Danio rerio: one gene and its partners. The protein of the gene in region 2 purifies or fractionates together with the protein of the main gene of each other region. This does not show direct contact. Links are inferred from orthologs where the notes say so. Each region holds a gene or a part of one and is shown on either strand. Other genes may lie near its edges.

Region 1 (4,865 bases), on a different chromosome or scaffold from region 2:
TTCAAAAAATAATAGATAAATGTAAAAAAGGAATTAATGTAATGAGGTGTCTGGCAGGAGCTGAATGGGGTGCATGTCGTTTCTCGCTTAAAAGAATCTATAATGCACTGGTAAGATCTACTATAGATTATGGATGCGTAGTATATAGTTCCGCAGCTAAAACTCAGTTGTTGAAAATAGATGCGATTCAATCTCAGGCACTAAGAATATGCTGTGGAGCACTAAGAACTACACCCATTATAGCATTACAAGTAGAGATGGGGGAAATGCCTCTAAAAATTAGAAGAATTAAGTTAAAAATGAGATATTGGGTTAGCATTAAAAGCCAAGAAGAGAGGCACCCAGTAAAAACAGTACTAAAGGAATGTTGGGAATATGGACATAAAAAGATAGATAGTTTTGGTTGGACAGTAAAAGACGAGGCTCAAAATATGGGCATAAGAGACATCAATTTAGCCCCTGCTGTGCCAACCTCTGCGATTCCGCCTTGGCTTTTCCATAAACCAGTAGTCGATTTATTACTACATGAGGAAAAACACAAAAATAATATGTTAAATGAAAAAGAAATACAACAATACATAAATCAGTCATATTTCAATTATTTACAGATATATACAGATGGGTCAAAAGATCCTAAAGATGAAAAAACGGCAGTAGTAGTTTACATCCCAAAATTCAATATTAAAATATCAAAAAGAATAACGGACCGACTTTCTGTGTACACTACAGAAATTGTAGCTATACTTCTTGCTCTTCAGTGGATAGAAGACGTGAAACCATTAAGATCAGTAATATGCTCCGATTCTCTGTCAGTACTAAACAACTTAATTACTGGAACATCTAAGGCAAGACAGGACATAATGAATGAGATAATGCAAAATTTATTCAGAATCAGACAGGGTGGACTTTTTGTAAGCTTCTTGTGGATTCCTGGTCATATGGGAGTAGTAGGTAATGAAGAGGCAGACCAACTTGCAAAGGAAGCATTACAACATACTCAGATAGAAATAAAAATAAAAATAAGTAAGTCAGAGGTAAAAAACATAATTGCAAAAGAAACAGGTAGAATGTGGCAAAGGGAGTGGGATAATGGAGAAAAAGGCAGACATATGCATAATATTCAAGGATGTGTGGGTGGTACTAGAAATAAGTTTAGTAATAGAAGGAATGATGTGGTAATAACTAGGTTGCGTGCTGGTCATTGTTTGCTAAACCAGTATAAGTTCAGAATAGGGAAGCACGAGACAGGATGTTGTGATAAATGCGGGAAAATAGAAACATTAGAACATGTAATTACAGAATGTGTGGCATATGACAATCAGAGATATCAGTTAGTTCAAGGATTAAGTATTTATGGGATTAAAAATTTGTCATTTCAGACCCTATTAGGAAACAGTTCAAATCAAGTTGAAATAATAATGCAATTAATTAATTACTTAAAGGAAACAAAATTGATTAATAGAATTTAAGAATAGCTTAGCAAAATAAGGAAATAAAATTTACTATGATTTTTAACTAGTATTTTTTTTCTTTCTTTCTCTCCTCTCCTCCTACTGTTATTACTGTTCTCTCTTCCCTATGGTAATCTCATCCCTCCATTCGTATCATATATCTTTAGTACTCATGCTTTTTCCAACATTATGCGCTCCACACTCCTATCCAGTAGGTGGCGGAAATGCACCATTTAAGTTGGTCTGCCAACCGCCATTAACCCCATAAGAAGAAGAAGAATTTCATTGGTTGTCCGTTTTGTGTTGTGTGTGTGGCTGCTGGCTAACGAGAGGTAAGTGAGTTATGTAAAACTGCCTTCATAATTTGTATAACTTTAGCCATTCTTGCGACTTTCAGTGTTCATTATTTTATAACGGTTGAGTCTTTAGCTTCAAATAATCTTTCATTTTACACAGTAACGTTTGAATCGGTCCGAGAAGAGCCAGTAGTGTCGCAGTCATGCCGCCTGGGCCTGTGCAGATCATGCAGCCGGAGCTGAATAACAAGGTATGAAGCTTTCAGAATTTATTACTTTCATAGACACGATGGGTAGGTTTATCCGATTTATATTCATCTGCTTACATTTTTCGTCTTTCATAAGTATAATACTGGGCATTATTGCAATTTTATAATTTATTGTTTTGAGTAGAAGCATTACTTGTTTAAAGTTAAACTTTAATGTATATGTTATCTGTTTTGTTATCTTTTGTAGCAGTCATTGTTGTATATATTCCCAGCATAATGTTGTTTTATTATTAGTATAAATATAATATAATATAAAAATATATATTATGTAAATGTACTGTTTTATTTCCCAAAATCGATGTGGTCAAAGACAACCATTTTAAAAGATAACGTAGTAGTGTCTACTTTATTGTTTAGAAAAAAAGGTTAATAAAAATTAAGATCTAAAAATATATATACTTTTGTAAAAAATGACAACAACAACAAAAGTAAACTTACATGTACTTATTAAAATAAGTAAATGATCCTTCTGCATTTTATTGTTTTTTCTTTAAGTAAAAATTTGGATAATAGATAGTTAAATTTGAAATATTTCATTTGCTTATTTTGGGGGCTGCAATGTGATCTTTAAATGTTTTTCTAATGTCATCAAAATATTCTTCAGATGTTAATTGAATAATTATTCTTATTTTTCTTTATAATGAAAAAAATATAAATACACAAATTACTTGTTAGTTTATAAATATACATATATTGTTTTGATTCTTAAATTAAAAATGAATATGCAAATTCTATATACAAATAATATTTAAAAATTAGGGGTGTTTGAATTGAATGTAAATTTATTGATATTTATTGTAAAAACTAATTAGTTTGTAATATAAATTTCAGTTTATTATCAGATTCTGTTTTATTGATGTTGTGAAATGAGAAAGGACAGTTGTGCAATTATAATAAAAAGTAATAATTTTAAGGACCATTTACAGTGAGAAGTGTATTCTGTTGTACAATAGAAACACTTTTGGCTGCAGTAAATCCAATTCGCTTGATTTTTTTCTGTTTATCTGATATGGTATTCTCACATAACATGGTAAAGTTTCTGAGATTGACACCACAAGCATCACCCATGCTTCAATATTTGTGTAGTAAATGAAACTGTGGCATTCATTCAGAAACACGCCTCATAAATATAGACTTTGTATTTAACTTATATTTTAGTGGTCTTAAAATTCTCACACAATAGTACACATCACAACTTCATTTTAAGGACATGATTAGTTTTAATGTATTAATTCAAAGCTTGTAACATTTAATGACATTGTATAATTAATTCCATATTTATGACTGTATTCTGTGATTTTTGTTTGTGTTTTCTGTATTATTTTGCTCATATTAAATAAGCTATGAGATGTTTTAATCAACAGCCCGAAGAACCGAAAGAAGAAACTCCAGCCACAAAGCCCATAGTGGGAATCATCTACCCTCCTCCTGAAGTGCGAAACATCGTTGACAAGACTGCCAGCTTCGTAGCCAGGTTTGACATCCTACCACATATATCATGTAGTGCAGTATTTCATTTGTGTACTTTTATTAAATCAATAATTAATTCCATTTATTTTGTCAAAGGAATGGACCCGAGTTTGAGGCCAGAATTCGACAGAATGAGATCAACAACCCAAAGTTCAACTTCCTCAACCCGAGCGACCCATACCATGCCTACTACCGACACAAGGTCAATGAGTTCAAGGAGGGCAAAGCTCAGGAACCATCCGCAGCCGTTCCTAAAGTCATGCAGCATCCTCAGCAGCTTCCTCAGAAGGTCAGCAACTTCTCTGTGGCTTTATATAAATATTATCAATATTATAGATGTAGACAGATAGTTTTATAATAGTTAAAATCAAGCCATAATCCAGCAGACAGATATAAAAAATTTTAATAGCTTTCTATGTTATAAAGAGCTTATGTTTTGTGATTATTTAGGTCCAAGCACAGGTGATCCATGAGACGGTGGTGCCAAAAGAGCCTCCACCTGAGTTTGAGTTCATTGCTGACCCTCCCTCCATCTCAGCCTTTGACCTGGATGTGGTGAAACTGACCGCACAGTTTGTTGCCCGTAATGGCCGTCAGTTTCTCACACAGCTGATGCAGAAGGAACAGAGGAACTACCAGTTTGACTTTCTCCGGCCACAGCACAGTCTGTTCAACTACTTCACAAAACTAGTGGAGCAGTATACAAAGGTAAATTATACTTTTTAGAAATGCTGAGGGCTTATTGGTTTGCAAAGAGATTAGAGATGTTCAGTATTTTTTCCTCTAATAATATTTTTGATTAATGTTTAAAAAAATGCAAGCTCAATAAATTAGCAAAAAAATTATTAAAACAATTATTCCATTTGTGAAAGCATTTAGAAGATACATTAGGGCTGGGGAAAAAATTGGTGATTTCCATGCACATTTTGTCAATAAAGCAATAAAAGTAAAGTAAGCTACATTCAGCTGGAGCAGCATTTGCCACACATAATTCACTATAAAGCTACACAAAACTTGCAACACTTGATGAATCTGTAGTTGTGTCTTTATTAATTAGTCTGAATTAGCGAAAGCAGTTAAAGTTTCCTTTTTAACACAATACTCTTTGGATTTCTTTTAGTTTCTGTAAGAGCAGCCTCTGGCATTTAGAGGAGATTTATTGCTGATCATGCTGTGCTTTTCTGACAATATGTGCATGACAAATGTAGCTTTGCTAAATGATGTTTGGGATTTACTTTAGATTAATTGACCAGTCCTAAGATATATTGTAGTTCGGTAATATCACACAAACAAATACTTTTTCCCTGAAAATCAATTGCAAATGTGAAACCCCCAAATGCAAAATACAGGTTACAAATACAGGTTATTCAAGTGTGACA
Region 2 (4,937 bases):
ACGAATAAACAAGTCACTGCAGCTTTTAACAGCCCTGTTGATTTCGTTAGCTTTTGATGCTGGCACATTATCTAATCGAGCCAAGTTGCATAACTTACCGTGCAGACTTTCTTCCTTAGGAATAACTTTTTGCGCTGACATTGTTGTTCCTTTAAATATTGTTCACTCTTCTGAATGTAGTGTTTACTAAATGTTATTTGTTTGTTTCTAAAGAGAAGGCAATAGACCAAAGGCTGTAGGTGCTGAAAAACATTAGAGACAATATCGCGCTCCTGGAAAACACTGACGAAATCTTTTGTTTACAGACTAATGCTGCGCTCTGATTGGCCAGTCGCGAGACCAATCATTTCATCCTACGTGGGTCGAATATGAACTCTGGCGCGAATGCAGAACGCATAATACGGGTCCCTATGTTTGTGGGTGATCATGACTGGCTTTACCCAAAGATTCTACTCCTCAGGATCTTTAATGTGAATGACATCATTTATTGACTTGTAATAGACATTAGGAAAGATGCCTTTCTAATCAACAACAATATGGTTGGAATATATTTGAAAGTATTAAAAGCTAAATATTTGAAGGTGAAACCAATGTTTTGTGCTTTTTATAATGGGATTCTTTCATATATAAAACCCATTAAAATATAGGAAACAAAAAGTGCATTTAATCTTCTGTCTTTGATAGAAACGTATGAATTACAGGGAAACTCCTAGCCCCATTTTTACATTTAGTTATGTATTATTTTCCTTATAATTATTTTATGTAACATATTATTTGTTCCTTATTTGTAATGTAAATCTGTACTGATGATGCCAAGTTGTTATACATTACTATGTTCAATAAAAAATTAAAGACATGCAGTATAGATGAATTGTGTGCGCTAAATTGTTCATAGTGTATGTGTGTGAATGAGTGTGTATGGATGTTTCCCAGTGATGGGTTGCAGCTGCAAGGGCATCTACTGCGTAAAACAAATGCTGGATAATTTGTTGGTTCATTTCGTTGTGGCGACCACAGATTAGTTTTTCTCAGTGGTTTTGTTGCATTTCTCACAACACTATTTACATTTGCACAACAGTTAATGCATTTCTTAAAACAATTAGTACAAACTGCAAAACCTAGCTGATAACATGCAAAAGCACGTCACTTGCTCAAAATGGATAGCTCATTCCTTAAAAGCAAAGTATGATGCCAATCAAAGTGTCAGTATCATCAAGATGAAAAGTTCTGACTCCTTTGTTTATGAACAAGATAGTCAAATGGCTTTGTCATGTTTCCATTATGACAGTTTACTCTGTACATTATTTCCAATGCAAAAAAAGTCAGATTTTGGTGACATACACAGGTTTGTAAATCATTCATGAAATTGTTCAATTTAGAAGACATTTTCAGGAAATTTTTAAAAATCTTTTATAATATTAGCTTGACAGATTTTGACAACTAGTTCAACATTTTTGTATGTAATGACTCAAGTAATGATTTGAGGACTATTAGTTTTATATGGAATGACTATTCAGCATTCACAAGTTTAGGTAATTTTGACTGTCATGAAAGCAAATGAAAATGTTATAAAACAGCAGAGTTGTATGCAAGCAAATAAGCAATTGATGCATGTATAAAAGCATTTGCAATTTATTGGAAGGAATGAGAAACTGCTACTATGATGTGCACAAACGACAAACTGTTTTGAGAAATGCATTAACTGTTGTGCGAATGTGAGTAGTGCGAGACATGCACCAAAGTCACTGAGAAAAACTAATAATCCAATTTAATTAACCAGCTGTCTGTTTAATACTACTGTTATTATTATCGTTGTTGTTAGTATATACCTTTGCTCCACTTGGTGCAAAAGATCGACGGTAATGCACAAAAAAAACAGTGTTACTGCAGAGCCATTACTGCTTTGGTAACATCGCGACATCACTTTGTTCAAGCGAGAGTGTGGCGTCACATCCGGGAAAGGTCGAGGCGACGAGAACGAGAGGAGATCCAAACGTAACAACAACAGCGGCATTTCTTTTCACGAAAATACAGTAGTACATGGACAGTTAAATACATAAAATCATCTGTTTTTTATATATAAATAGTATACTCGGAATATTTAAAGGTAAGCCTTATGCTACAGAATGATCCTGTATTCCTGTTTATAATCATATAAACATGGCTTCTGCCGAGCGCGAGGCCTTTCGCTCGCTTTATACATTAATCGCTGATGTGCATATAACTTGAAACAAAAAACAAACGCTTTCTGATATTCAATGAATGGGTTAACAATTGTAATACGAGATTAGTATTTAACAAATAAATAATCAAATATGTCCCCTTTAACGTGTAAAGATTATAACGGGTTCCTTACGACATCTCAAGCGAATAAGTAACGTTAGTCAATTGTAGTACATGACTTATTAACATATCTATAAACAAACAGGAGTGTACTTGTAAAACTATTTTGGTAGGATTTGGATAATAACGATGTTGAACAGCAGGTTATGAGTTTTGAAACAATTATTTATAAGTATGATGAGATAAGGTGGATGTTTTGAGGCCTGTTTCACTTGTCATATAACGTTAATAAGTGTTTGATTTTTCAGATGTCTGAGGAGTTGATGAAGCAACTGAGCAATTATAAAGCTCAGCTGCAGCAAGTGGAAGCGGCGCTTTCTATAGATCCAGATAATGAAGATCTGCTTAAACTACAGAAGGACCTCCAGGTTTGGGGCACAATTATTCCCTATTTGTGAGCCTTTACTAAAGTCGAAGGGAAATGTGAGTTGTATTATTATGGTATTGTTGGTTTTATATTTGCACATTTAGAGTTTCTCCTTAATAAAACAATTTTATAAAAGTATGCTTTGCAAATTTTAATCGGTGAAATCATATTAGCTATCAGTGTTGGGTAAGTTACTTTAAAAAAGGAATAGATTACAAATTACTCATTACTACTCGAAAATTGTAACGTAATAACATTACTTAAAACTTAATGTAAAATGTAATCTGATTACTAATTACTTTACTGTGAAGTTACTTTTAAAATAAATAAAATATACCTTTAAAAATACAAAATAAACTGCAGCCAGGGGTGATAGCGTTCCGGCACCACGCCGGATTTCCGGCGTACTGTGGCTGCGGGTAGGGTTGTGACGGTGAGGAAATTTCCCCACCGGTTAATCGACATGTGACAACACCGGTAATACCGGTATCACCGTGGGAGTGGGCATTTTTTCATTTCCTCTTTTTTTCTGCTTTTAAATAGCTTATAAATGCGTGCGTATAATACTTTCACTTTCAGTTTTGTGGGAGTTGCCAATTCGGTGTCAATTGAATGGACAGAAAGGAAACTACAAAAAAAATTCCTGTTATTAAACAAAACATAACTTTTATTTACATAACGAATAAAACACAACACTGCTACAGGCTGAAAAAAACTGTGTAAGTTGGAACCACACAAATAACAACCATAAACGCCTATGTTATATATTAACAGCTTAGTCCTTATGAACAATCCGTTTATAAAATACATTATTAACGAATCTATAGGCTATTGAAGAATAAACCGAATATGAAATATGATCCTTGCGTAATGATCACAACTAAACAAGCGAGCACTCATTTTATATTTAAACTATATGAAAAAAAATTAAGAATTGGAACATTATGTAAAAAATCAAAGGGCAGGCTAAATAAAAGCGCCTCGTCAGAGCTAAACATCACCGCACATGTGTCAGTTTACAGCTTTTGGAAAGATCAGACAACCTATACAGATCACACAATCTCAATAAACAACATGTAAATGTATAAATATTTCGATAAGTATTGTTATGGAATATTTATAACTAAATGATCTTGCTTTTTGGTTTTATCGATACAGCTTTGATCTCTCTTACAAGCGGCAGTTACAGGCGCAGCATAAGGGCGTCTCACACTGTCAGTGGCGGAATACACACAGCACTGCCAAGACGTTTTATTTTTATTTATTTTTTTTGTTGCAGATTTGCGCGTTGTTCCTTTAAAAAAAAAACCCTTTTATTTTTTAATTCTCTCAAGTTAATGTTGTCTATCGAGTAACTATCGAGTCCCTCGGATTGGAGTTCAGTGCGCATTAAGACTATTGACCAACCGCCCTGTAAGTTTAAACACTACAGGTCCACAGCTCTGGTGTGGTATGAATTAAACGTTTTAAATGACAGCGAGACATGCTACGTTTAGTTTTTATTGTAAAATATACATTATAACCCATTACACGGTAAAATTATATGTTTTGAATGGCTTGCCTATTGACGGCGTATAGCCGTTAATTAAATATGCTGAGCATATTTTCATTAAAATTAAAACACATTAATACAAATTAGCCACCCTTTGATTTTTTTTCGTTTACGTATATTTTTATCAAACGAAAAATGCAATGAATTGTTAATTTTAGTTTTCATTTTATTAGAATTAATAGGCCTATAATTTATAGGCTACACAACTCATATATTTGGCTCCAATTGCGTTTTTACAGATATCCTACCAATAGACTTTTTTTTGGCTCAAAGACATTTATGGCTATTAATTTCAGAGGTGCATTTTGATAGATTTCGTAAAGGCTTCAGCTATTCTACCTGTCAGCTGCACCTGCCTAAGTTTTGCAACTTGACTTGTGTTGTGGCTCGATGTCTGAAAGAGAGAGAGAGAGAGAGAGAGAGAGAGAGAGAGAGAGAGAGAGAGAGAGAGAGAGAAATCAGTCCTCAGATTCGATGTGTGGCCGCACGTCTCAGTTACTTTATTGCAGTTTTTAATATTGGCTCATCTAAATAAACTTTTCATATATTAAAAGCCGAAATATTGCCAGACAGAAGAAGCAACTTTCGGTTTTTGAAGAGAGCGGCCTCAGTTATAAAAGATGCGCGCACACACAGGATTCGATCTTTTTGGCCTAGACATTATGGATTTTTTGA
Region 3 (4,943 bases), on a different chromosome or scaffold from region 2:
AATATAATATAATATAATATAATATAATATAATATAATATTATTAATATAAAATAATATAATATAATATAATATAATATAATATAATATAATATAATATAATATAATATAATATAATATAATATAATATAATATAATATAATCAATATAATATAATTAATATAATATGATAAAATATAATATAATATAATATAATATAATATAATATAATATAATAAATTATAATTTAATATAATATAATCAATATAATATAATTAATATAATGTGATATAATATAATATAATATAATATAATATAATATAATATAATATAATATAATATAATATAATATAATATAATATAATATAATATAATATAATCAATATAATATAATCAATATAATATTATTAATATAAAGTAATATAATATAATATAATATAATATAATATAATATAATATAATATAATATAACTATTTTAACATACCATTATATTATATTATATTATATTATATTAAATTATATTATATTATATTATATTATATTATATTATATTATATTATATTATATTATATTATATTATATTATATTATATTATATCATGTTCCGGCGCCATAAAAAGTATATTAAAACCTTTTCTCAACAATTTTCACAGGATTTGAGGTGTTGGCGTTAGAAAGACCACCATCTTGTGGCTAAACATGGCAGACGCAGCATAAAATAAACCAGAGATGCCCAAACTATCGACAGTGGGCCAAAGTTGGCGCATGCATGGTAAGAAAGAAGCGAGAATGATGAGGTAGTTAGAGCAGAGATGCCCAATAGGGCCCGTGGGCCAAAGTTGGTCCATGATAACTTTTGAAATGGCCCGCCATCCCATCTGAGAAGAGAGGGGGAATGATAAGGGTGGTTTCGAGATAGTCAATTCAAATTTAATGTAAACATTTGTTTGTTTGTTTTATTGTTAAAAGCTACTGATTAAATGTTTCAATCAAATGGTGTAAATTTGAGACTTTGGTGAGCAAATCAAGTCAAAGACAGATTCTGCTTGACTAGTGTGTTCAGCACTGAACTCCACTGTGTTATCAGGCAGTGCACACATAGGGCTCAACCTTTTTAGTGCCCTTTTTTGCCCTTTTTAGTCTTGGATAAAAAGTGCCCTTCCAAAATGATCAAAAGTGCCCCCTCGACGCGACACACCCTCCGTCCCGCCCTTCAGTAGGCGCACGACAACACTGATCTTGAGTACGCGCGCTGACCTTTGGATGGTCTCTGCACGGGCCTGTGTGTGTACAAGAAGACATTTCCTTCATCCAGAGTGACAAAGATGGAGCATGAATAATTTTCCAGTAAATGGCTGGAATCAGGCGCTTCGCATGCAATAGACACAGGCTTATACACTTCTGTTCATATGACTTCAGCGATAAGGCAGGTGGGAGAACTTTCATTTTTGTGTGAACTATTCTTTTAAATAGAAAAAAAAATTCTGCATCATTACTAAATGTATAAAAAAGATTACATCTAGGCTACATTTAGTTTATACTTTGCTTTATAAAATCTATTTAGTTTTTATTTCCAATGAATCTAACAAAAAACGCTGAAAATAAGAGACGCGACTTCATAAATACACAAGGAATATGTATGATATGGATTTTTCATTCATTCATTTTTTTCAGCTTAGTTCCTTTATTCGTCAGGGGTTGCCACAGTGGAATGAACCACCAACTTATCCAGCATATGTTTTACACAGCGGATACCCAGTACTAGGAAACACCCACATATACACCCACAAAAATATATACAGCCAAAAAAATTATCGTCGCAGTTTTAAAGTTTAAAAACTCAACGAACAGGAACGACAAATCCCACGATGCTTTGCGTTGTGTTCCCGTGATCCCTTGCGCCTGAACGCGTTTGTGCCGTTCATCTTCAACATGGCTAACGAAGGGCCGCAGGATCCAAATATAGATTTTAATACATGGACCCATGGCGAGCTGCAGGCCAAATTGGCCGAATTTGGTGCTCCCAATATGGGTAAGTTAACAACTCTTTCATTACATCGCTGCGGGACAGTATCGCTGAGTTTTTCATTTGTTAGCTAGCGTTAGCCTGTTAGCCTGTTATTTTCCTGTCCGGTGCCCGGGCCTCAGTGCACCAAACGACGCGCTTACACATGTTGTTCATTGAAATGTGTGTTGGAAAGCTGGTTTTGCTCTTGATTTTGCTGCTAGTAATGCATTAAGTCGTGTATGTGATATAAGTAAAGTGTATGATAAGTCGTCCCCGGTTGAACCGAGTGAATGTTTTTGTCTGAACGGGAAATGCAATGGGATTTAAGTGCAGAACTTTTTATACACACATTTTTATACACACCAATACTTTAGCTGCATAATAAATCGTGTAAAATGTCTAATTCACTGTTTATTATCATCATCATTTAAGTTACCTGTGGTTTTCTGTTATCCAGGTCCAAGAGAGGAGCTCATAGACAGACTGAAATCTTATGCACAGGTAAATTAGTTAAGGGTTTTAATTACAGATACAACGTTATTTACATTTTTTTTGTCCTAACATAATCTTTATTACGTTTTCAGCCTGGCATGATCTTTAATAAACCAAACATACCAGGAGAAGACAAGAGCTTGACCACGGTACTGTGTCCTTTCTCTTATTCTCTTAGCAGTATAGTTCACCACAAACATGTAAATTCTGTCACTTTCTCACCCTTTACTTGATCAAACCCTGTTTGTTTTTGTTCAGTTGAACGCTGAAGAAGACGTTTTGAAGAATTGTGTAAACCTGTAACCATTGATTTCCATTGTTGTCCAACTATGGAAGTCAATAATTACATGAGTAACTCCATGCAAATGTGAACCTTGCCATGATAAAACTACGCTTCAACCAAAATAGCCAAACTGTTTCTACATTTTTGGTGTAATGACAAGTGACACAAGTGCCAATTTTACATTTGTCACATACATAGCGAAGCTTTTTCCTCAAAAATGCAAAAACATGTAAAACTAAATACAATCAATCATGTGTTCTTTAGAGAGCAACTCCTATCCTTTTTATTAGGATTGTTTCTTTTGGGTTGGGCAGTTTGATTCACAGAATTTCTGCAAAGTATGTTGTAGACCAGGTGTGGGCAAACTTGATCCTGGAGGGCCGGTGTCCTGCACAGTTTAGCTCCAACCCTATTCAAACAGACTTCCCTATAGAGTTCAAGTGATCTTGAAGACACTGAGGCCCCGTTTACACTAGTGCGTTTTAGTTTTAAAACGGCGTTGTAGAATGAAAACGATCCGCGTCCACACTCGCGTTTTACCCAGCGTTTCTGAACAGCTCTCCGTCCACACCAAAACCCTGAAAACGCACATCACGTGACCACACACACACACTCGGGCAAGCGCTCCAGCATTTCTACCCAGATGAGAGCTCTGCTTGTCGGACTGCTCATCAAGCATCTCCCGCTGGATCTAATCTCACTATATTTGCTAAATGTGATATTTCATTCATCTTGTTGTCTTTATCTAACGACATAGGCCAATTCCCTGACTTTGGTCATTGGAAACTGTTAAGTTACTTGTTCACGGGGAACATGTTTTGGTTAAGCGCAAAGATAAGTTAATGATTAATCCAGGTACATTGACTGATCGCTTGCCTTTATTTCCTACAATGTATAAACTTATTGTATGTTATACTTTTATAATTATCGATTATTAAAACTGATATTCAGCAAAAGAGAGGGTGCGTTTCGTATTTTCACTGAAATTGAAAGGAGGCAGTTGTTATCGGCTCTGTTTTGTTATAAATATCCACACAGTGAAGATGACGCTCATATATGCAGCACGGCGCCTCAACATTTCTGCTGTCTGTTAAGTTGCTAATATTAAAATGAAAATAGGCAGTTCCTTAAATCATGTTTACATTTTATTGTTGATAAAGTGAAACAACGTAGCCAGGGTGATGTGAATGAAGTTATAAAGTACACTGTTCCCTTTGAAGATTTACCCGTGTCCTCTGTATGTTTTCCATATCAAACTGAGAAGGGGGAGACTGCAGCCTTGATCAAACTTGCGAAGTCTTAACTTACAAGAAGAGGATGCGAGACTGAACTATGTGTGGGCTACTTAATATTGAGGAAAAGCCCCAATCAGATAGGTGAACGTTTGCAGCCCCGCCTCCGTTTTCAGATGTCTCCGTCTTTCCCCATCCACACTGAGACGGAGCAGCAGCGTTTCAGAATGAAAACGGCCTCTCCAGCGTTTTCAAAAAGCTCCGTTTTCGGCGCTCGAGAACTCCGGCGTAGTGTGGACGGATGGCGTAACCGTAGCAAAACTTATGCGTTTTCAAACTAAAACGCACTAGTGTAAACGGGGCCTGATTAGTTTGTTCAGGTGTGTTTGACTAGTGTTGGAGCAAAACTCTGCAGGGACACCGGCCCTCGAGGATCAAGTTAGCTCATCCCTGTTGTAGACTGTAAACTCGCAGACTTTTTTTGGTCACATCCATAACGCTTGTTTATTTCCCTCATTTAAAGTACAAAGCATGTTCACAGATTGATATATTTCTGCTCTCACAACTCTGTGGCTAGTTGTTTCGTAAAATATAAACAGATGTTTCAACATGATGTTAACATTTACTTTCTCTGTGAATTTATGTTTTGAGCTGTTACTGCAAATGTCACATCCATAACGCTGGAGTTGCTCATGTTTTCAACATTTTTCAAACTATCTTCTTTTGTGCTCAACTTATTTTGGAACAAGTCAAGGGTGAGTAAATGACAGGAATGTGAACTATCTCTAATGTCTTGGTAATCTAATAGTCACTTTGCTCCCGTTTGTTGTTAAGCTTTAGATCACCAATCTCGGTCCTGGAGGGCCGGTGTCCCTGCAGGGTTTACCTCCAACTTGCCTCAACACACCTGCCTGAATGTTTCAAGTATACCTAGCAAGACCTTGATTAGC

The links.
Region 1: the proteins of smndc1 (region 2) and sf3a1 purify together in Homo sapiens (affinity purification with mass spectrometry; 3 studies listed by BioGRID and IntAct, with this or other methods). This does not show direct contact. The link is inferred for Danio rerio from reciprocal best matches to the Homo sapiens genes SMNDC1 and SF3A1.
Region 3: the proteins of smndc1 (region 2) and sf3b2 purify together in Homo sapiens (affinity purification with mass spectrometry; 3 studies listed by BioGRID and IntAct, with this or other methods). This does not show direct contact. The link is inferred for Danio rerio from reciprocal best matches to the Homo sapiens genes SMNDC1 and SF3B2.

Annotation. Positions count from the first base shown.
Region 1 is NC_133183.1:43,422,079-43,426,943, forward strand, and holds the start of sf3a1 (splicing factor 3A subunit 1), read left to right. Parts: upstream 1-1,765; 5' UTR 1,766-1,783; exon of another isoform or gene 1,784-1,787; intron 1,788-1,907; 5' UTR 1,908-1,950; coding exon 1,951-1,998; intron 1,999-3,380; coding exon 3,381-3,490; intron 3,491-3,582; coding exon 3,583-3,775; intron 3,776-3,936; coding exon 3,937-4,194; intron 4,195-4,865. UniProt on the Homo sapiens protein: Component of the 17S U2 SnRNP complex of the spliceosome, a large ribonucleoprotein complex that removes introns from transcribed pre-mRNAs.
Region 2 is NC_133192.1:21,547,514-21,552,450, forward strand, and holds the start of smndc1 (survival of motor neuron-related-splicing factor 30), read left to right. Parts: upstream 1-1,932; 5' UTR 1,933-2,107; intron 2,108-2,591; coding exon 2,592-2,711; exon of another isoform or gene 2,712-3,079; intron 3,080-4,937. UniProt on the Homo sapiens protein: Involved in spliceosome assembly.
Region 3 is NC_133182.1:6,504,940-6,509,882, forward strand, and holds the start of sf3b2 (splicing factor 3B subunit 2), read left to right. Parts: upstream 1-1,843; 5' UTR 1,844-1,910; coding exon 1,911-2,010; intron 2,011-2,443; coding exon 2,444-2,487; intron 2,488-2,570; coding exon 2,571-2,627; intron 2,628-4,943. UniProt on the Homo sapiens protein: Component of the 17S U2 SnRNP complex of the spliceosome, a large ribonucleoprotein complex that removes introns from transcribed pre-mRNAs.